3 linked regions of the Astyanax mexicanus genome follow. The protein of the gene in region 1 purifies or fractionates together with the protein of each later gene. This does not show direct contact. Links are inferred from orthologs where the notes say so. Each region holds a gene or a part of one and is shown in the gene's direction. Other genes may lie near its edges.

What was found. The genes of interacting proteins can lie anywhere in the genome.
Region 2: the proteins of eef1a2 (region 1) and vars1 purify together in Homo sapiens (co-immunoprecipitation; 3 studies listed by BioGRID and IntAct, counting the BioPlex papers as one, with this or other methods). This does not show direct contact. The link is inferred for Astyanax mexicanus from reciprocal best matches to the Homo sapiens genes EEF1A2 and VARS1.
Region 3: the proteins of eef1a2 (region 1) and eef1b2 purify together in Homo sapiens (co-immunoprecipitation; 4 studies listed by BioGRID and IntAct, counting the BioPlex papers as one, with this or other methods). This does not show direct contact. The link is inferred for Astyanax mexicanus from reciprocal best matches to the Homo sapiens genes EEF1A2 and EEF1B2.

The regions. Positions count from the first base shown.
Region 1 is NC_064420.1:29,050,341-29,057,896, forward strand, and holds the start of eef1a2 (elongation factor 1-alpha 2), read left to right. Parts: upstream 1-3,127; 5' UTR 3,128-3,388; intron 3,389-3,643; exon of another isoform or gene 3,644-3,648; 5' UTR 3,649-3,701; coding exon 3,702-3,845; intron 3,846-5,300; coding exon 5,301-5,480; intron 5,481-7,556. UniProt on the Homo sapiens protein: Translation elongation factor that catalyzes the GTP-dependent binding of aminoacyl-tRNA (aa-tRNA) to the A-site of ribosomes during the elongation phase of protein synthesis.
Region 2 is NC_064413.1:5,088,117-5,095,672, forward strand, and holds the start of vars1 (valine--tRNA ligase), read left to right. Parts: upstream 1-3,120; 5' UTR 3,121-3,192; intron 3,193-4,854; 5' UTR 4,855-4,856; coding exon 4,857-5,201; intron 5,202-5,986; coding exon 5,987-6,130; intron 6,131-6,560; coding exon 6,561-6,771; intron 6,772-7,556. UniProt on the Homo sapiens protein: Catalyzes the attachment of valine to tRNA(Val).
Region 3 is NC_064412.1:41,446,756-41,454,311, reverse strand, and holds eef1b2 (elongation factor 1-beta), read left to right. Parts: upstream 1-2,613; 5' UTR 2,614-2,689; coding exon 2,690-2,769; intron 2,770-3,686; coding exon 3,687-3,809; intron 3,810-3,999; coding exon 4,000-4,129; intron 4,130-4,334; coding exon 4,335-4,398; intron 4,399-4,906; coding exon 4,907-5,032; intron 5,033-5,158; coding exon 5,159-5,313; 3' UTR 5,314-5,370; downstream 5,371-7,556. Other genes in the region: ndufs1 (NADH-ubiquinone oxidoreductase 75 kDa subunit, mitochondrial), read right to left, coding at 75-153; zdbf2 (DBF4-type zinc finger-containing protein 2), read left to right, coding at 7,045-7,081. UniProt on the Homo sapiens protein: Catalytic subunit of the guanine nucleotide exchange factor (GEF) (eEF1B subcomplex) of the eukaryotic elongation factor 1 complex (eEF1).

The DNA.
Region 1 (7,556 bases):
TGCTCATATGGAAGGTTAGAGGCAGACGATAATTGATTCTTTTTTTTATTTTTTATTATATTTTTTTTTAACGTAGTTTGTTGTTGGACTCATTGAGACTTACCTGAAAATGTCTTTTGATTGAACTGCTGCAGTACGAAGATGTGGGGAAGAATTGCTTTGTTGGAAACAGTTAAATACAGGGTCTATGATGGTATCATCATCATTGGTCAGATAGGGATGAATTCTTAGTACATAAAGAAATGCAGCCTCTGTTTGAGGAATCATACCTAGTGGTCATTTATGTCCGTCATACAGTAAAGCTAGTATTTTTATTTTCCCATCTGTGACGGTTCAAATTCAAAAGTCAAATTCATTGGTAATAAAGATGTTACATTACATGTTAAGGTGAAATGTGATTTTACAACCATAATGTTTTACTGTATTTATTTACTGCTCTTGTTTTAAAAGGTGCAAAGCCTTTTATTAAATCAGACTGTACTTAAGTATCAGCGTGAGTTATGTTGTGTTTTGGAAGAAAGATATGGGTGCAGAGGCTTTTTGATGGGTGCTGGTGCAGATCCAGGCGATTCACTGATCTGTAACCTAAAGACACTGAGTGTTTTTACATGCATGTTCAATAATAGGTTACTGAAGTTAAAATCGAATTATTGAAGTAGTCATATAAACAGTATACTTTAATTTCTTAGAACTGAGGTCTTAGAGTCTGAGTCTGATGCTATCATCTGTTAAAGAGAGCTGGATTTTTGCTCAGCAATTGTATTTTTCAGTGCATGTAAACTTGTGGTACCAGAAATAAGCCAGCAGCTTTAAAACATCTCCAGTGAGATGACGACAAAACACATTTGCGCAATGCTGAACCCAAACAGATTTCAATATTCTTAATCTTCTATCTATTGTATGTTTTTATGATAAAGATTTACATGATGTTTATCACCTGTTATTTTGTAAATTTGAGTTGATTGCAAAGCAAAAATCTAATTATGGCTTTACTTTTTTTAAACTAATGAATTTTAACAGTATCTGTTACAGTAACTGTTAACAGTAACTTTATGTAAACACTGATCATAATAATTGAATTATAAAGTGCATGTAAACGCACTCACTGTCTACAGTATGCTTGTGTAATGGTACACAAAATTCATGGATTAGTTTGTACCATGGTTTAGTTTGTACCACAGGTTGGACCTCATTGTTCCGTACAAGCTCAGTACAAAGAAAAAAATAAAATATAGTCTAGGTTTCTAGTTTCTTATCATGTTAGTTCTTATGAAGTTAGTTCTGCCTAGTGCTATATAGTCTGGCTTGAGGTAGTCAGTCTGTCAGCCTGTACTGTATTAATTTAGCAGTAAAAAATGGATTAAGGATGTTTAATGTCTTTCCACACACACACACACACACTGTCCAGCATCACAATTACTTCCTCCTTGGCTGATCCATCATAATGTCAAATTAGATGGTAAAAGGTCAGAATGTCGCAGAGAAAGGTGAGGAATAAGCAGGTTAAAATACCAAATAAATCCTTCTGTGCACACAGCAAGTGTATAGAAAAATACAGTTACAATAGCAATGCTCCTAAATCCACTACAGTTCCCATAATCCCATGCATTGCATCTTTATGTTGACGTTTGGCTTGTGCACCCCCATTGCATGGTGGTTTGGTACCAAGACACATACCATTACAACCCTATTGCTCTAAAAATTAAGGTGACATGAAGACCTTCAAAGGACCTGCAAAGTTTTGAGTGTTTGACATTTCTGGGCGGGTTGCCCCAACAGGGATTAAGCTGCATAACCTTTTGTATATTCCATTTTGAATGGAGATTTTCTTTCGTAAACACAATGTTCTAAAACTAGGCTTATTCCCCAAGTCGCTGACTCATTAATTCATTCATAAATTGGCCCAAATTGTTCCAAATACTGAGTTGCCTCCCTAAGATGCTTTACCAGGCCTTTCTGTTGCCTTTTGGGTGGATCTTTCTGTCTTTAATTTAATAAACTTGATCAACTTAAAAGAATGACTGCACTGTGTGTTGAGGCATTATCTGTCTGTACTATAAATTGACCTTCCTGTCAGTGCCGGTTCTACACCAACATCTGTGGTGTGCTGGTGTATGTTGTTCTAATGTAGTATATGTTGGATTAGACACTGCAGTGCTGCTTTTTTTTACTGTCCACTCTATTGGATATCGCTACCCAGCTACTGTTTCCGGTTGGTGGACTAATTTCATTCCAGAAGTGAAGAGTTTAAAAACTCCAGCAGCACTGCTGTGTCCGATCCACTCATGCCTGCAGCACAACACTGCAAAGCTGCCTGAAGGATGACCCACCAGGGTGAAAGAAGTATAACACTGAATGCAGAGAAACAAATGGGCTGTAGTAAACAGCAGACTTCAGCTGACAAGACTGACAAAGATCGTAGAAACAATGTCATAATATTCTACTTGGACTGTGTATACAGCTCAGGAAAAAAATAAGAGACCACGTAAAAATGATGAGTTGATTTTACCAAATTAAAAACCTCTGGAATATAATCAAGCGGAAGACGGATGATCTGTCTGAGTTTTTGGACTAGGAGTGGCAGAAAGTTATCCAAAAGCAGTGTGTAAGACTGGTGGAGGAGAACATTGCAAGATGCATGCAAACTGTGATTAAAATCAAGGGTTATTCCACCAAATATTGATTTCTGAACTCTTAAAACTTTATGAATGTGAACTTGTTTTCTTTGCATTGTTTGAGGACTGAAAGCTCTGCACCTTTTTATGTTATTTCAGCCATTTCTCATTTTTTGCAAATGAATGCTCTAAATGACAATATTTGTATTTGTAACTGATTGATTCAGACACGTAGTGCTCTTTTGCTTTTTCCAGCGCTCTGTATTTATATATAAAAACTTGAAATGCTTAATTCTATTCTATTGTGTCAGCCAGATTTCCACAGATGTGAGGAACTCACAGTATTATGATTTAGTCCTGATGATTATGATTACACATGTTCTAAATCTCAAGGGAATCTTTAGGAATGTGCTGAGTCACTCAGGCTTGCAGTGTGATGCTGGAGTTTTCTCCCATCCTTTTCTTCCCTTTCTCCTAACTTTCATCCCAGCATACATCCCCCACCCACCTCTCTGTTTGGTTTCTCTTGCTGCCTTTGCAGATCCCCTGCTTCAGCATCTCTCTCGTCTCCCTCTGTCTCTCTCTCTCTTCTGTCTCCCCCTCCTACCCTCCTCCCTCCCCACATAAAGTGCCGCATTGCTGTATCAAAGTGGGGTGCGTTCACTACGCAGACAGATTTAGAGCCTGCCACCCCCCCTGTGTTGGAGTGCTAAGGAAGAAAGAGGGTGTTCAGAGGGAACACGCTGTGCTGCCTGAACACACAGCTACAGCAGGTAAGACCCCAAAGACATCTATCTGTCTGTTTATGTTTATGCTTCTGTTTACACTGCAGTCAGAATTCATTATAGGTAGTTTCTCCGGCCTTTCTCTGAGTGTTTGTTTGTTTATTTTTTTTCTTCTTCTATATTTTTTTTAATATCTATTCATTTATCACATTTCCTTTATGTAAACGTTTAGATACAGTTTATTAATCTGCTTTAATCTTGTTTTATAATGAATCTGCAATGCTGTTTATTCTGTCTGTGAAGAGCAGGGGAACCCTGGGTGGGAACATTCTCTCTTCTTTCCCTCTGTGTTCTGTTCATCATGGGGAAGGAAAAGATCCACATTAATATTGTTGTGATTGGCCATGTGGACTCTGGGAAGTCCACCACCACCGGTCACCTCATCTATAAGTGTGGAGGCATTGACAAGAGAACCATCGAGAAATTTGAGAAGGAGGCTGCAGAGGTACAGACAGATATTAACTTTCCAGAAGCTTCTATGTTTACTGTGGTAGCCCTACTAAGTTTTCAGGCTTGGAGATGAAAACTGAAAGTAATGAATATAGAAAGAAAACAATAGGTTGTGTATTTGAACTGGCATTCCTGGTTTGAAAAAAAATAGTCAACCAGTGTTTTCATGGGCATGTTTGTGCTGGTTTGTGATACATAGGAACACTGTGTATATAGTCTGTATTATTTAACTCCAGACCACTCCCTGGTTTGGCATGCAATTTGTGCTTTAAAAAGTTTCTGAGTGTCTACCTGTAAAAAATGATTTATAGGATGATCTATTACATGTTTCAGTTAACATGTTTCTGTACAGGCAAGAGCAAAACAAAATATATACAAAATATCCAAAGAATGCCATTACTAATAAAAAGAAGTCAGTTATAATATATATGATTGGATTTTCAGGCAGACAGAGTGTCGTAAAACTGACTTAAAAACTTAAAAAGTTTAAATCCTTGTTTTGTGGGGTGTTTTAATAGTATGTCATACCTTTATGCATTTATTCGTTTATAGAAGACAGTCATACATACACAAGATTATATTATTTACATCCCATATAGTTCATAGGATACTCAAATACTCTTAATTAGACATGTACATTTCAGAATTTAGATATGTATTAATTTGACCATGTTTTGATTTATTTGAAATTATATTGCTTTCTAAATGTCCTTTTATCAACATTTTGTTAAAACACTGTTTTTTTAATCAATCAGAAATTGATAATCTGGAGTGTTTTTGTAGCTGTAAATAAAATCATTTCTATGGTAAATTATTTGTATTGATTAGATCAAAAAAGGGTATTTATCACAAAGTTCTTCATATGTAAAAGGTTCTTGAAAGTAGTCAAAATGGAAAAAAAAAACTTATTATTTGATTGTGTATTCATTAGTACATTATTAGGATGTTAGAATTAGTTTTCCAGAGGAGAATTAAACCTAATTCTGGATTAATCAGGGATCAAATTCTTCAGGATTTTTTTTGAGAAACCAGACGAGTTCATACTGGTAAAATCTGTTCATCTATTAAAAAAACAACAACAAAAAAACAAACCTAAAATGTATAGAAGTTCAATGACGATTTTGGCTGAATGATAAAATCACAAGTACAGCCATTAGAATTTAACATTTTTCCTTGATCAAGTTGAATATATGATATAAAAAAAAAAAACTAAAATTAATGTTAAAATGGAAATCTCAAACATATAAAGCTTTTAAAATGACGGATGATGCTCAGCATTACATTAATACAGATATGCTAAACAAATGTTTACTACTGTAGAATGATATTTGTTTCTTTAAACTTTCTCTTCTTGTCACTGTTGCACAAAAACCTTTTATCATAGGATTTTCATAATATAATAGAAATGCTTATTGAATTTAAACTTTCCAATTTTTTGTCTGCTGTCCAGATGGGGAAAGGATCCTTTAAGTATGCCTGGGTATTGGACAAGCTAAAGGCAGAGCGAGAGAGAGGCATCACCATAGACATCTCTCTCTGGAAATTTGAGACTTCTAAATACTACATTACCATCATAGATGCTCCAGGTCACAGAGATTTTATCAAGAACATGATCACAGGGACTTCCCAGGTAAAGCTGCATCACATATCGATATTTTCCAGGCAAAGGCTGAAACATCAGGCCTTGGACATATTAGTGTTATAGGTCAGTGTCTGCTGAAAGGCCCCTTTGTCTCCAGTTCTGCAGATATATACTGTAAATAAAGCTGTATTTAATCTGCTGTCTGCAGTCATTTAGCAGCTGAACTTACTTGCAGGAGAACACTAACAGCTGTTCTGTAATGTCAGCTAACAGATGCCTGCACTTGCGTTTAGCTGAATGATGGATGGAGAGACAGCAAAGCCAATTTTTCTTTTTTGGACTCTCTTGGCTGGATGGTTGTGGTATGACCAAGGATTGAACTTGCAATCTCATTGCAAATTCACTGCTGGAGCAGCATTAGCATTACCTGCTAACTGTGCTAAGCACTAGCTCTATCGCCTTTCAGAGGTAGTATTATCAGCCTGTAGCCTGCTCCAGATAGCATTAACATTACCCACTAACTGAGCTAAGCGCTAATTAGCTCTTTCGTGTTTTAGAGGTAAGTATTTCGGACCGTAGCCTGCTGCTAACCCCGGCTAGAACTGCCAGAGCAACATTAGCATTACTTGCTAACCACGCTAAGCGCTAGTTAGCTGTTTCTGTGTTCAGAGCATTGTGATAAATTGTGTACTCCTAAGATGCTTTTCAATTTATGGTCCTGTGTCAAGGCACAAGTACTTGTTTTTATCATGGGATGCACTGCATCCACATCATATAGTCATGAAAGTGACTGGCAAAATTAAGTATTTCTCCCAGAATTTTATTGCAATTACATGTTTTGTTTATATACATGTATACTTTCATTCGTGTGTATTGGAACAGCACAGAAAACTGAGAAAGCCAAAAATGTATATAATTTCTGTATATAAACACCAGACAAAATTACTGGCAGCCTCAATTAAAATTTTTGATTGCACAAACTTTGGAAAATTGCTTCCTATAACCATCAATAAGCTTCTTACACCTCTAAACCTCTAAAATTTTGGACCACTCTTCGTTTGCAAAATGCTCCAGGTCTCTTAAATATGAAGGGATTTTAAGACCTATCCACAGGTGTTCAATAGGATTTAGATCTGGACTAATTGCTGGCAGCTTCAGAACTCTCTAGCACTTTTTTCTCATCTATCTCTGGGTGCTTTTTAAAGTATGTTTAGGGTCATTGTCCTGTTGGAAGGCCCAAGACCAAGGAGGCAAAGTCAGCTGTCTGACACTGGGCCCTACATTGCGACCCAAAATCCTTTGTTAATTTTAGATTTTATGTTGTCTTGCAGTATACACAAAGGAATTAAAAATGGACATAACAAAATATGTGTAGCTGCAATCGTTTTCAGTGAGAAATACTTCAGGGGGGCACAAAAACTTCGGCCATGACTGAATATATCTGATATAGCTGATGTAATTCACAACTTAGTTAAACAAAGTAAAAAGGATCAGATGCTAATTTATTGAAGCCAGATACAACAGGGCACCTTCATAGGTCTTGCAGAGTGGGCGGTTTATGAACATTTGCATATTTGGCAGGTGATCATAATATTTTGGCTTATGTGTATAGTTCCTGCAGGACTTGTTATATTTTCTGCACTATAAGACGCATTTAAAAATTCTTTAATTTTCCCAAAAATCGTCAGTGTGTGAATTGTACCAGTCAGGTTGTAAGGAGCAGTAAAGCCACTCTACTGAAGTGCAGCGTTATAGTTTAATTCTATATTTTAGTTCCCCAGCACCCGAGCAAGACTCGAGACTGGATCAGTATAAGCATTAGCTGCTAACCGTGCTAAGCGCTAGCTCTTTCGCCTTTCAGAGGTAGTATTATCAGCCTGTCGCCTGCTCCTAACTCCAGATAGCATTAGCATTACCCACTTACTGCGCTAAGAGCTAATTAGCTCTCTCGTGGTTTAGAGGCAAGTATTTCGGACCGTAGCCTGCTGCTAACCCCGGCTAAAACTGCCAGATCAACAATAGCATTACTCGCTAATCACGCTAAGCACTACTTAGCTGTTTCTGCGTTCAGAGGTGAGTGCATCAGACTGTAGCCTTTCTCTTCACCATGATAAAACAAGCTAT
Region 2 (7,556 bases), on another chromosome or scaffold:
AATGGCTGAAATAACAAAAAAGATGTAGAGCTTTCAGACATATTCTTAAAGTTTTAAGAGTTCAGAAATCAATATTTGTTGGAATAACCCTGCTTTTTTTCTAATCACAGTTTTCATGCATCTTGGCATGTTCTTCTCCACCAGTCTTACACACTGCTTTTGGATAACTTTATGCCATTCCTGGTGTAAAAACCAGAGGTTTTCAAGTTGGTAAAATCAAAGAAAATCAAATATTTTTTTAAGTGGTCTCTTAATTTTTTTTTCCAGAGCTGTATTCAATTTCTCCTTTAAGGCCTATGGCTGCTGGCTGGGTGACTATATTTATTATACATATTACACTATAAAACACAAAAAACTATACAAATATCATATATATATATATATATATAGTGTAGAAAACAGTTACAATTACGACTGTTAAGCTGTTATTTTTTTTTACTAAATTAAAATTAAAATAAAAGAGAAACATTTATAAACTTTCTGAAAAAAAAAAACAGATGTAATCAGCTGCTGAGAATGAAGTGATGGTGAACAAAAGAGATGAAAAAAGTCATACTGACAAAAGACCGACAAAGAAAAACATAAAAATGATTAATAGTGAGCTAAAAATGAAATGAAAATGGAAATGAACCACGATCTGTTTTTAGATCATATGTATTTAATATATTTGAGATAATATTTGAGGTTTATATGAGTTAGTCTTTGTTCTCTTTAGCAGACTGTGGGAATCTGATTTTAGATGTGATGCGCCACAACAGCTCTACAACCAAACCCCTAAAACCGCAGTATTTAACCCGTATTTAACACACGATAACACGTAAATGCACTGTACCGTTGCTTTTCCGTCTGTATTTGCTCGCTGTATGTCGTTTAAACGTTTAAATAAATATCCTAATATTCCGTTCCGACCACATCCAGCCTCAGCCTCAGCATCCCGGCGCCTTGTTCCATTTCCCACCCGTATTCCGACAAAACCCCGCCCCCTCCACAGAGATTGGCCAGAAATGCACGGCTCAATGGCAAGTGTGAAGCTACAGCCAATCCAAGCGCAGAAAGCGAAACAGCACCAGCCAATCACAAGACAGGAAGGCGGAGCCTCCCTAAAAACAGGTCCTAAAAAAAAACGACCCATCCCATCCGGAGGAGGAAGTAGCAGCTTTGCTACGTCATGCTCGACGCCTAGCAACAAAGGCAGAGGTTCAGGAGGTTAAGCTAATCATAACATATAAATACAAATACAAATATATAAATACAAGATTTAATAATACCAGAGGTATTGAACTACTTCACTACTGTGTATTTAAGTACTAAAATGTTGTCACTGTATCTACTGGAGTATTATTTTTACTTCACTACTACTGTGTACTTAAGTACTAAAATAATACTGTATCTGGATCAACTGGAGTTATATTTTTATTTCACTACTATACTCGAGTACTAACATGCTGTATATCTATCTACTGGAGTATTATTTTTACTTCACAACTGTACTTAAGTACTAAAATTCTATATCCACTGAAGTATTATTTTTATTTCACTATTGTACTTAAGCATTAAAATACTGTATCTGTATATACTGGAGTATTATTTTTACTTCCCTACTCAGTACTTAAGTACTAAAATGCTGTATCTTCATGCAAGTACTAAAATAATTATGTATCTGCATCTACTGGAATATAATTTTTTACTTCACTACTGTACTTAAGTATTAAAATATTGTATCTGTATCTACTGGATTATTATTTTTACTTCACTACTGTGTACTTAAGTACTAAAATAACGCTGTATCTGTATCTACTGGAGTATTATTGTCACTTCACTACTGTGTACTTAAGTACTAAATTACTATATCTATATCTTCTGGATTATTATTTTTATTCCACTACTGTGTACTTAAGTACTTAAATACTGTATCTGTATATACTGGAGTATTATTTTTACTTTACTGTTGTGTATATAAGTAGTAAAATACTGTATCTGTTTCTACTGGAGTATTATTTTTACTTCACTACTGTGTACTTAAGTACTAAAATGCTTTTGCAAGCCAAAAGTCTAAAATTTTAAATGATTTTCTAGCTCTACCAGAGTCCTGTTTTTCATGATCCAGATTCAAAACTCTTATTTCCAGTTCCAAATTCTGCAAAAGATCAGCAGAGGAACATTGTTTTAGTGTTCAGTGTTGAAGTCGGTACACTAGATGGCTCTGTTTACCCTTGGATGTGGCTTTAATGGCCTTATTATTTTGCCTGTCAATTTGCAACAGTGTCACTTATGAGACTTTTGAGACCATTTAAGTATGGAGAAGGCTTGGAATGGCTCGATACAAAGCTCACCATGTTACCTGTAAAACATGGTGGTGGTAGTATGGGCATGCCTGGCTTCCAGTGGCATCGGATCACTAGTATGTATTGATGATGTGACAGAATAGAAGCAGAAGGATGAATTCTAAAGTTACAGGGATTTAATTTGCTCAAATTTAACCAATACAGTGAGGTTGATTGGAAGACACTTAACAGTACAGATGGACAGTGACCTAAAACATACTGCTAAAGCATCCCAGAAGTAAAATCAGGTGCAGTAAAGGCCTGGCAAAGCATCATAAAAGGAGAAAACCTAGTGTTTGGTGATATCCATATGTTCCAGACTTAAGGCAATCATCGCCTGCAAAGGATTTTTAACAAAGCCCAGCCGGGCTATTTTATCATCAAATTCCACTTAATTACCGCAGTTTAAGCTTCTATATTGATAAAGTATCAGATCAGGACTTGGTATATATACATATCAATCATTGTCCATTGTTACTATCGATCTCCATTATTCTCTGTTGTTCTCCATCATGTTCCATCATTCTCCATTATTCTCCATCATTCTCTATTTTTTTTCAAATATTTTAAATCATTATCCATCATTCTCTATCATTCTCTATCTTATTTTCCATAATTTTCCATTATTCTTATTTATTTTTCACCATTCTCCGTCATTCTCTATTATTCTCCACCATTCTTCATCATATTCCATCATTCTCCATTATTATCCATCATTCTTTATTATTCTCCATTATTATTATTAGCATGTCTGGTTGCATCAGACTACTTTCGTTTTTACGGCACTAGCCGCAGCTTTGCGGCAGAGCCCGTTGCTACTCTACGCGCCTGGCGCACGCGGGATTAAGGCTGACTGTACGCTGTTGCGGTGAGTGGGAGCGTGTTGGTTATGTTGTTAATATTTTATCCTTTTTTGCTTTAAAATGACGTTAAATCGTGATAACACGCCGCCTGTTCCCTTCAGAAACGTCTAGACCTCTTTTTTAACCCTGTCTGACTGACCGGCGGCAGCGGAGAGCGAAGTTTAGCACAGTAACCCCCTGTCATCACTTCCCCGTGCTACTTCTGCCCTTAAATTTCCTTAATTTATACCGGTTTCAGCTTCAGTTTGGCCTGTTTTACTGAATAAGACGAGTGTGGGACTTCACTCGCTGTTTTGTTTGTTTGGAATATCGATATTAAAGAGTGTACATGAATAAGAACAAGCTAGCCTGTTAGCTTTTGGGGAGCTTAAGTTGTCTTGTTGTAATTTTCCGGTCCACCTTAAATTCTGCAGCAGTTACGTACAGCTCCTGACCGGCGCCTCTATGTTACAGCTGATGTATTTAAGGTGGAACGGACCATTCCTAGAAGAAGCTGGCAAATGTTGATTTTTTTTTTTGTAGCTAGCTTAGCACTTTCTTAACTCTTATCTTGACAATGCAGTACTTTTTCACCCAAGGTGTAAAATCTTGATTTAGACAAGCAGCTGAGTGAGCAGAAATAGGCATTTATTGGCTAGTCTTTCTGTTTTCTGTCTCAGTTTAGTGGTGGACAATATGGGATAAATGTTAGCTAGTTTAGCTATCACAATACTTTGAAATGAATAGTTTTACAAGACACAGTTTACAGGGCTGGGCAATTAAATTCACATTTAGGTACAGACAATATGGCCCTAAAATAATATCACAATATTTCTCAAAGGTGTTTACAAAAACAATATCCTTTGCAATATAACAAAACATTGAAATAAAAAAAATATATAAATTCAACAATACACCACTGTAGACCTGTCAAAATTAAAAACTAATTTTGGAAGATATATTGTGCCAGAAATTATTAAGATAAACAATATTAAACAATATTCTTGTCATTTTAAGACATTTTAGATTGGGAAATATATACTTTTAATTTACATACTTATGTCCACATTGGTCACTGCATGACTGGCTAAAATACTGTTAATATCGTTAAATATACAAACACAATAGTCTGTCACGATTTCAAATATTATTGAGGTCATGTCCATTTATTATACGATAAATTGATAATGTAATTATTGCGACAGTCCTACACTACTCCAACAAAACATATATTACCGCTATATAATATCACCAAATTTCATGGTATCTTTGCAATGACAGTATGCATACTTATATGTCCAATATTTGCAGTATGCATTAGGATATTTGATGTTAAAATGATTTTGCCGTTGTAACACAAAAGAGAAAAAAAAACATGAATGTTACACAAATGCTGTTATAATTTGTATTGATGTGTATTGATATGCAATTTATTCCATGCTTTAGCCACTACACTGAATCCTGTCCATGTTAAAAATTCCAGAACCTACCAAGTTTTCAGACGATTAATACACACTTTTATTTCTCAAGACTGTATTATATCCATATATCCATACTGTATTATATTAAGTCCAAAGTCAGTGCAGTGTTTTACTGCTAAATGTTTTGATGTCTCAGTTATTTTGGCCTGTCTAGTCATTCATATTCATACACTCTCTCTCTCTTTCTCTTTTTCACTCTCTCTCTAGAGATGGACTCCCTGTACGTGTCCTCCCACCCTGATGACTTTAGGAGTTTGCAGGCCCTTATTGCAGCTGAATTCTCCCCATCCCGCCCGCAGACCCTCGCAGAGGAGCCCCCAGCCAGAGTAGCTCGATGTCGCCCTGCCCTGGTGCTGCGGGACGCCGAGGCGACGGCACTGTGCGGAGCCGGAGCGGTCAGCTGGTACCTGGCATCTGTGGGCGGGAGGACGGGCAGCGATGCCCAGCAGCAGAGCGAGGTGTGGCAGTGGCTGAGCTTTGCTGAGAATGAGCTCACACCTGTGGCATGTGCCGTGGTCTTCCCTCTGTTGGGGGTGATGGGAGTCGACAAAAAGGTGCTTGTCCATATGGGATGTCCCGATCACATTTTTTTGCCCCTGAGACTGATTCATTAAATTTTAAGCATCTGTCGATACCGAGTCCTGATCCAATACTTTGACAGTGCAGTAAAAAAAGAAAAAAACACATCCAAATTGTCCTTTAAGTTTTTTTTAAATGATTGTTTTTTTTTAATAATTTTAAACGCGAAATGTTCTGATATTTAGTGAGTTAATATGTAATATGTGGTGTTTGGGCACTTTTGGAGTCAGAATAAGTGTAAGTGTAACTTGTGTGAGTAAGCCTTTTACCCATCTCCCATTGCGATTTTGTCCCTAGCATTTTGTTTAATGCAGGACTGTTGCAAATTAACAATTAGTCGACAATTAAATTTATAGTCAACAAATTTAAATAATCAACACTTAGTGTCAGGGTCACAGGACAATACACTACTGTTGCCCCGGCTAGTGAATTGAGACATGGTGGGGGAAAAACTTCCTTATAAGAAGATAGGGAGCCCAAGAACAGGCAGAAAAACGAGAACAGGTGGAAACTAAAGTCACACCGAGCACGACAGATAGATACGGGGGAGGAACAAAGTAAAACTGTGGAATTATGGAGCTCCATCCAATAGTATTGGGATAAGTTGGGCAAAAAAAAGCCACAGTAGGGACTTCAATAAAAGCAAATAAACGTTTTTTTGTTTTTTTTTAAACAATCATTAAGAAGCCTTTTCTTGAGCATGTAGAAATAGAATAATTCTGTTGTCTATATGTTTAATATGTATTTCCTTATCTTCCAGTTGCAGCAGAGTTCTCGGGCGGAGCTGTTGCGTGTTTTGAAGGTTCTGGATCAGATTTTAGAGCCGCGGACCTTCCTGGTTGGAGAGAGCTTGTCTCTGGCTGATGTAGCTGTTGCAATGGCTGCGCTGCTGCCTTTTAAATATGTAAGTGGTATTTAGTCATGCTGATAGCCCGTTTTGGAGCTCTGGTCATTCGTTCATTCATATATTGGTCTTGAGTGTTCTGTTCCCCTTATTTCCTCATTCAACTGGCAATACAGAACCCCAATAGAGCCAGTGTAGAAATCACTATTTTGTGTGATGAGAAAGTTGACACAGAGAAGGAGGTGTATTATATTTATGACAAATGTATGCTTTCTTATTTATATCTCTAATTAAAAGGAGGAGGACAACAGAAATATCAAACATGTCTTGAATGATGTTGATTGATTGCATCTGGTGTCAGTAGTCAGTCCCGTTTAGTTGTTTTTCTTTGCTAAACTTTTCTTGAATGTCAGGTTTTGATGGTTTGTTTGAAGGTGTGATTGGCCCTGCGTGATATTTATGCTCATGTTCCTCTCTCACGCTCTCTCAGGCATTGGAGCCATCAGACAGGAAGACCCTGGTGAACGTAAGCAGGTGGTTTGATACGTGTGTCAATCAGCCGCAGCTCCTGAAAGTGCTGGGCAAAATCACACTCTGTGAAAAAATGGTGCCGGTGACTCCTAAATCCAACTCTGCTGTCAACACCACCACTGCTGCTGCTGCAGCAAACGGCACTGCTCCCAGCAGCACACCTGTCAGCGGTGAGTGCGTGTGGGAGTGTATGGGGGCGTTAGCCAGGGTAATTGCCTTTCACAACCTGCTGTGATTCAGAAATAGTATCTGCGGAAGTCTTTAAAAGCCACAGATTCCAGATTTGTACACTACGTGGGGGAAAAAGTATCGGGACACCTTCTAACCATAGAATTTATATGTTACTTTCAGTCCCGTTGCCACAGGTTTATAAAATCAAGCCTCTAGCCCTGGAGTCTGCCTTTACACACATTAGTAAAAGTATAGGTTGTGGTAAAGAGCTCACTGAACACCTGTGTGGTGCTGTAATAGGACGGCACCACTGCAACAAGTCAGCTGGTGACATTTTTACCCACCTAGATATGTATTTTATATCAGCTGTGTGTGATTATTATTGTGAAAGTGAAGTGAAAGCATTCAGGAACCATATCAATTTAACGATAAAGTGCTAGCTAAACTGCTAGCGCTAGCTGCGGTTAGAGGCTAATTCTGCCCAACAGCTCTACACTAAGGAACCTTGAGTGTTCTGGTTAGCCAGGGCGCTATTACTATTCCCACTTAGCTTGTTTTAACATGGAAAACAGTGCAGTGCTAGCCAGGGTTAGCAGCTAATGTTAATGCTGCTCCAGCAGTGCTTGCCGGGGTTAGCAGCAGACTACATGCCAATAAAACTCACCTCTGATAAAGGGGTTAGCAGCTAATGCTAATAATGATGGAGAGCATTAGTATTACTGTTCCTTAATACCTGACTGTAAAAATTTATACATAAGGTGCACTGTCGATTTTGGGGAAAATT
Region 3 (7,556 bases), on another chromosome or scaffold:
TCAGTACAGTAGTTGTATTAGCAACAATTACTGCCATCACTTCTTCAACTTATATGACATATGTACAGGCTTACCATTGCTAGAGGAGGTGAGGCACCCTTTGGAGTGGGCAGCCCCAGCCAGGGCTCGGCCAACTGCTGGAAAACGCAACATGACTGCAGAAAAAAATATGAAACATATAAATAACTAATAATATATAAAACACAGGCCAATATAAAGTATCAAGACAAAAAATATATATATTTAGAAATATAAACCATTCCTTCTATTTAACAAACTGCTTGTCATTTTATAAATCATTCTGTTATTTTAACAATTTGTTCTGTCAACGTAATATTCAATACACCATCTTAGAGAGGACAATTTAGTTAAGTTACAAAGTTTGTCACATACATAGTCATACATGGCACAACTGGTATGCATGCGAAATGCTTTAACAACTGCCCACTAATTTAAAACACAGAAGACACAAGAAAAAATATATAAAATATAGAGCATAAAAGAGCAGAGATGTCAAAAACAATAAAACCAACAACACAGAGATATTGCTAACATTTTACGATACAACGTACATTAATAGTACTCGCAAGAGTGTATTTATTAGTTAAAATAATGTTAATCATTCACAATACAACATTCACAAAATTCTTTGCATTTAAATGGAATGTTTAACAATGTCTTAACTAGTGTCTATTAATAACTAGTGGAGACGTTATTTAACCTTTTATCAATGTTTATTACTGTTCTAAGTACTGTTAATTGATGTAGTCATATATATTAATATAATAATATAGACGTTATAAGGAGTGAAGAAAAGATATGTACACTAAATTTAAACAGTACAGAAATGATAACTGAGGGAACGACCTGTATAATCCACGGTACATTTTATTCGATGAGGGAACAATGTCGTATTTAAAAGGGAACAGTTTTAGCTTGTAAATACTGAATTTCTAACTTGACACTTCAGGGTCTCCGTAGGTCAAGGGCTGCAGTTGTGTCTAATTCAGCTAGCTATATTATCCCGAACATTAGGATATGAACACCACTTGCAACAGCTGTGTGAACTAAGATGGACGATAAAACAAACACATATACAATAAACTCATATATGTAGATTTTTAGTTTAACACATCTAGCTGGTACTATAAGCTGTGACTTTATGCAGGCAGTAAAACCAGCTGTGAGACACTTTCAGCTAAACTGACTAGCTAACCTACATAACTACATGGCCATGGGTTGTAAACAATAATAATTAAAACGAATAAAGTGCATGTTAAGAAGAGAACCGTGGTACAGTCAATCCTGAAGACCACAGAGAAAGTGTAAATCACAGCCTGTAGAAATCCTGGAGCCACTAACAGAATGTGAGCGTTTGGTAGAGACAGGTTACGTTAGCGGAGAAGCTAACGTTAGCAGTAGCTAACGCTGCACTGCTGGTCAAACCAAGGACAGGGGGAACATTTTCTCTATTTACAGTTCTGCGAGTTCACTGAGCCTTTTCCCTTTCAGATATACATAAACTACAAGCTCAAACATCTTACAGCCTCTAAAGAAAGCTAAACTCATGTAGTTTTTACTCACCTTGGCGCTATTTGGCCTTCTAGACCAGAACAGCGGAACTGTAGTCAGAGCGTCCAGTTACGCAGGAGTTTTCGGAGGACTTCGGCTGTGCTGACGGAAATAGCCGAAGTAGTTCGATAAGAGAAAACGACCCAAAAATATATTGTATATATTCCAATTATTAAACAATAAACGGAGCTATTTTATTAAGTAAAATTAGAATGTAACTAAAACATATATTTCAGTTAAAATATATAATGCTACACAATATTTTTTTCGCTTTTGCCATAACCCATTACGTCACATCCGTTTCTGTTTTTCTTTCATGAGACACCAAAAATAAAAAAATCTAAAATCTTATCAAAGTATTACTTGATTGTGTTTTTTATTATTATTATTATTATTATTATTATTATTATTATTATTATTATTATTATTATTATTATTATTATTATTATTATTGCGTAATATTTGCATTTTATTATTTATTTAGTTTAATTCCTATCCATAGTTTATCTATATTTTATACCTTAAATGTCATCATATTTTATTTATTATTGTTATAATTTTAGGTGCATGTATTATTTTTCTATCTATGTAACAAAAAACTGACACAAAAAAGGCATGCAAAAAAAGATTTAGAGACTTATGTCAAAATAACAAATTTGCATGTCAAAATAATGGCTTACTGTCTTATAATGAAGAAGTATCGCACAATTACCAATTTAGTATGTCAAAATAATGATTTATTAAAAATATTCTTTATTACAAAATATCGATAAAGTATGTCAAAGTATATAGATAACTAGTATGTCAAAATAACCCCTTAGTATCTTAAAATAATTTAGTATGTCAAAATAATGACTTACCTCAAAATAATGAGGTAGCTTTTTTAAATAATTATATATAATTATATATATTAGTCTATATTCTAGATAGTTTGTTATTTTGGTTATTTGAACAAAAAAGGTCCTAAACAGTGAGAACGGGTCTGTAGCAGAAGCAGGAGGAGAGGGAGGAGTCTCAGGCGGTATAAAGTCTTTTACACAGCACTTTCTCATTCCTTCGCGTTTCCTTCAAGCTAAGAGCCAGACGTCTACCGACCGGCTTTCCTAACTATCTTACAATGGGCTTCGGTGATCTCAAAACCCCCGCCGGCCTTAAGGTTCTGAATGAGTTTCTGGCTGACAAAAGCTATATTGAGGGGTGAGTACGTTTTAGGAACAGGTTTTGGACGAATTTGATGAGAAGTTAATTCGTTAGCAAGGTTAGCTAAGTGGCTAAGCTAAGTTAACTAGGCTAGCTACGTTACTCTCCATGTGGTTGTATGTGGTGCTGGCCCTCCAGTTACTACTAATAAATTACTAATAAATTTAATGTTAGCTGCAACCTGGCGCGATGTAGTCTATTAGTTTATCTAGATATGTAGCTATCTAAATTATACAGCTGTCTTGTAAGGAATGTATTCGGCCTTTTGTCTTCAGCAGCTAAGCTAAGTTCGGCTGTTCTTCTGTCTGCGTGGCCTGATCTGTAACCGCCTACGTGTTAAAACTGTGTCACGTCTTGAAGTCTGAAAAGTTTAATACACCTCTGAAGAAGCTTGTGGATGTTCAGAGCTGATTTAATTTTTATTATATATCTTTTAGATTTTTCGTGGTCGAAAAGTGCGTTTTTAGCTTGTAAATTGACTGAGTTGGAATTGTTTGGGTAGGTGTTATGAATTGTTTATGCCCCCTTTTTCGTTATGTTAAATAAAAATTACAATTTTAATAATTGTAGTAATTTCCCTCTTTAAAACGGAGCAGAGCGCTATTTTTTTTAAACTTGTTCAGGGTTGTCAACTGCAGCTCAATATGCATGTGGTGGTGCTAAAATGTTATAAAATAATCTCACACTGCGCCTGCATGCTATAGTATTGTGAATATTATTATGCGTGTGTACGTTGTGATGGTGATTCTGAAATGGTATTTTGTGCAGCCCTAGTGTGAAAGCCATACTTTAATGGCTTAAGTTGTGCACTCTGAAGGGAAACGAGAAAGCCAGCATGTCCTTTTTTTTTTTTTTTTTTCTTTCAAGCATGTATGTCTGCCTAAAATGTGAGTCTTTCTTTTTTTGTCCCACAGGTATGTCCCATCACAGGCTGATGTTGCTGTGTTTGATGCCTTGTCTGGTGCCCCCCCAACTGACCTATGCCACGCTCTTCGCTGGTACAACCACATCAAGTCCTACCAAAAAGAGAAGGCCAGGTAACTAAAAGCAACAATGCATCATGCAAGTTTATGATTCTCAGCACATGATGAGTTTTTTCACCATCTTTCGCCTGACAAGATGATGCACAATCTTTTAAACACTGATGTCCCTGAGAGACAGTTAGACTAGTGGTGATGTGCCTGCATGCCTGTAGAACTAACTGTACTCTGCCTCTGACTGTTTCAGCCTCCCTGGAGTGAAGAAGCCCCTGGGTCAGTACGGACCTGCTGGAGTGGAAGACACTACTGGCGGAGCCGCTCCTGCTAACGATGACGACGATGATGACATTGATCTGTTCGGCTCTGATGAGGAAGAGGTTTGTTTTGAATCATTTCAAGATGTTCACTCTGTAACTGTCTACTGGTTGTGTGATGAATACTTTTTCACCATCTTTCGACTGAAGTTGTGATGGATCTTTTCTTTTACCTGATTACCAGAATTAAGAAAATGTCTGTCCAAATTTTACTGCTTTACCTTACTAATGTGTGGGTTTGTTCTCTCTCTTTTCTTTCCATTCTAAGGATGAAGAGACTGCAAGGATCAAGGAGGAGAGACTGGCAGCCTACAATGCAAAGAAGTCCAAAAGTATGACACTCAGCTGTTTGGGTTAAAAGGGCACATTGGTCTAAACCTTGCATTTAATTGATCTATTTTTTTAAACATAAATTTAAATGTGAGGCATGACTCTAATATTTATGTATTTTATGTATATGCCTGAATAGTTTACAAAGGATGTATTTTGGTATTTGAAGTAATGGGAGCAGATACAGTTTAGTGATGAGTAACATTACTGTAGCAAACTTGTAATACATTGCAGTGTAAATTGTAGGCATATGTATAGGCATGTTCTTGTAGGTTAAAGTTCATCCTGCTATGAATTGTAAGAAGGATTTTTATTATTTTTTTATATATATATATATATGTGTGTGTGTGTGTGTATATATATATATACACACACCTTTTTTTTTTTTCCCCAGCCAGGGTGACCCTATAACAAAGTGCAGTGATCTTGCTGCCTTTTGTACAAAATACAGGTGTGTTAATACACCTGTAACTAACTTTTTTTTTTTTTTTTTTTTAAATGTCTCTGTAGAGCCAGCCCTTATTGCAAAGTCCTCTATTCTTTTGGACGTCAAGCCCTGGGACGATGAAACAGACATGGCCAAGCTTGAGGAATGTGTACGATCCATTGAACTGGACGGTTTGGTTTGGGGCCAGTGTAAGTCTGCTCTTTTGCATTCTTATTTTATAAATGTAAAAATGAAGATGCTGCACAATTTTAATAGTAACTGCATGGTCAGTTAGACATATTTTTAAAAAAAACTTGTCTTCACTTTCTCTACAGCCAAACTGGTGCCTGTTGGCTACGGCATCAAGAAACTGCAGATTGCGTGTGTAGTAGAAGATGACAAAGTAGGAACAGATCAGCTGGAGGAACTGATCACTGCCTTTGAAGATCACATACAGTCTGTTGACGTTGCTGCCTTCAACAAGATCTAGAAACATGGAAAAAGCATTACACAAAAAGCACTTGAAATAAAACAATTTGATTTTGAAGTGTGAACTATTGTTTTAATTTATTTTTTAGGCAGTGCATCGGGTTCATTCTGGTATGAGGAGACCACTAACTTTGCATGTATTTTCCCTGTTCAAAATGCAACCAATTAACCAAGGTACATGGCCTCCCTAAGGTGGGAGAATGCTTAGCACTAATACTCCTGGGTTCCATTTTAGTGTTGCTATAAAACTGTGAAACACGACTCCACAATAATCATATATTACTCAATAGGCTCCTAAACTTTTAAATAATTTCAAATGCTTCTATTCTGAATGTACACATCTTGACCAAAGGGGGATGGGAGGAAATTCCTGCTGAAAATGGTTTTCTAAAGGCTTGCGGAGGGAGCTGTTCCCCTGTTGCATTCTGAAATGTCCCCAGGGATTAGCCTTAAACTTTTACTGTATGGGTGTGAGATTCACAAGTCATTGCATTATTTACTTTATGTGTGTGTGTGAAAATATATATATATATATAATTTTTTTTTTTTTTTTTTAAGACCTTTTAATCTACATCTTGTACAGCACCCTCAACTTCCTTTGGAGTTGGGTTTTGAACAGAGGGAATTGTACTGACATTTTATAAAATTGTTAAAGTTTTTTTTTTTTTTGTTCCCCCCCCCGTTATTATTTTTTTAAATCAAATATTTGGATAAAGAGTGACATGTAGACCACCTAACTTTGGGAAAGAGGGTGGGTTCCCGCGCTTTGCTCTGACGTCACACGAGAAGCCCTGCGCCAAATACGGGTGCCGACGGGACCAGAATGGAGAAACATTTTCAGTCAGGTGAAAAAAGCTGAAGAGCGCAGTTTATCAGTGTCTATAATGACTTCACTGTAAGTGCTGCAGCGCGACTTTCCTCTGCTGCCAGTCGCTGTTACGGTTTAACATTATTTTCACCATTGAATAAATCGCCAGGCCTGCCGTTAACATGCTAGCCTGCTAACTTAACCTCCGCCTGTCCGGCTGCTCTAGTTCGAGCTAAGTTTGCTTGCTAGCGTTAGCTGGAGGTGGGTAGCCTGAATATTTTTGAGTTTGTGCGCAGTTTAGTGCTTTATAAACGCCGCGTCTGGAGAAAATATAACCTGTGGGAAGTGGGATAACCTTGGAAATGTGTTCGTCTGTGATTATAAACTAAGCCAGCTTGCTATGTTAGCAAACCTAGCTAATCAGTGTAAAAACGACTGGGCTGTGCCGCAGGCCGGATCACCGAGGTTGGTTAGTTAACTAATGATTAGCTAGGCTAGCTACCCACAGTCAGTCACAGAAATCTTATTTACTACCATTCCTGCTGAGTAAGACTTTGGCTGTTCGCTGAAGTAACTTGCTAAATACATAGCTAGCTAATTTGTCTGCTTAAGATCATACATGCTTAACTGAGAGAATTTTAACCACTTTGTAGAGTTGTTAGTTTCTAAACGTAGTAGATTAATAAGTCTCCTCTGCTGATACCAGAGATATTCCATGTTTTACCTGTATAGATGCCAGTCATCCCTCTTGGCCGCGTGAGTTAAGTTGGCCAGTCCACATGCAGTGATGTGATTTTCCAGCCTCGTAAATCCCCGTCCTCTCCTCTTGGCACGTGAGTAAACTTTTCTGCTTTAGACTTTATCACAGTGGTCTCAGCTAGACGTTTAACTCTTAATTCTTTACTTTACAGACAGTAACTTATTATGCCACTGGAGGAGAGACCTGCACCATCTGCTAAAAGTATGTATACAGTGCATTTTCCACAGTCTTTTACACTAGTGCCTATATGATTAGTCAACATTATTAATAGTGTTAATAACAAAGAAATATCAGTGTTGTCTAATCGTTAATTTGTAACTACAATGCGCTGCACACAGTAATTGAGAATTTAGGGCTGCTCACTCACTCCATTAACACTCAGCTTGGTCACCAAAAGTGACAGACAGAACAGATTGCATATATTATCAATAAATATCAAAATATTTTACATTTAAATGTCTTTTTGAGTGTTTAAAGAGCATTTAAATCCTATATTCAGCATTTTGTATTGTTTTAAAACAATAGAGAAAGCCAGGAACAGAAACCTTATTGTTGACTAATTAACTATCAGAAAAATCATGCTAAGATTAGTCTTGATTAGTCTTTGTATAATATCTTAATATACTTTTGGACCATGTCACCCACCCCTAACTGATATATGTTATTCCATGATATT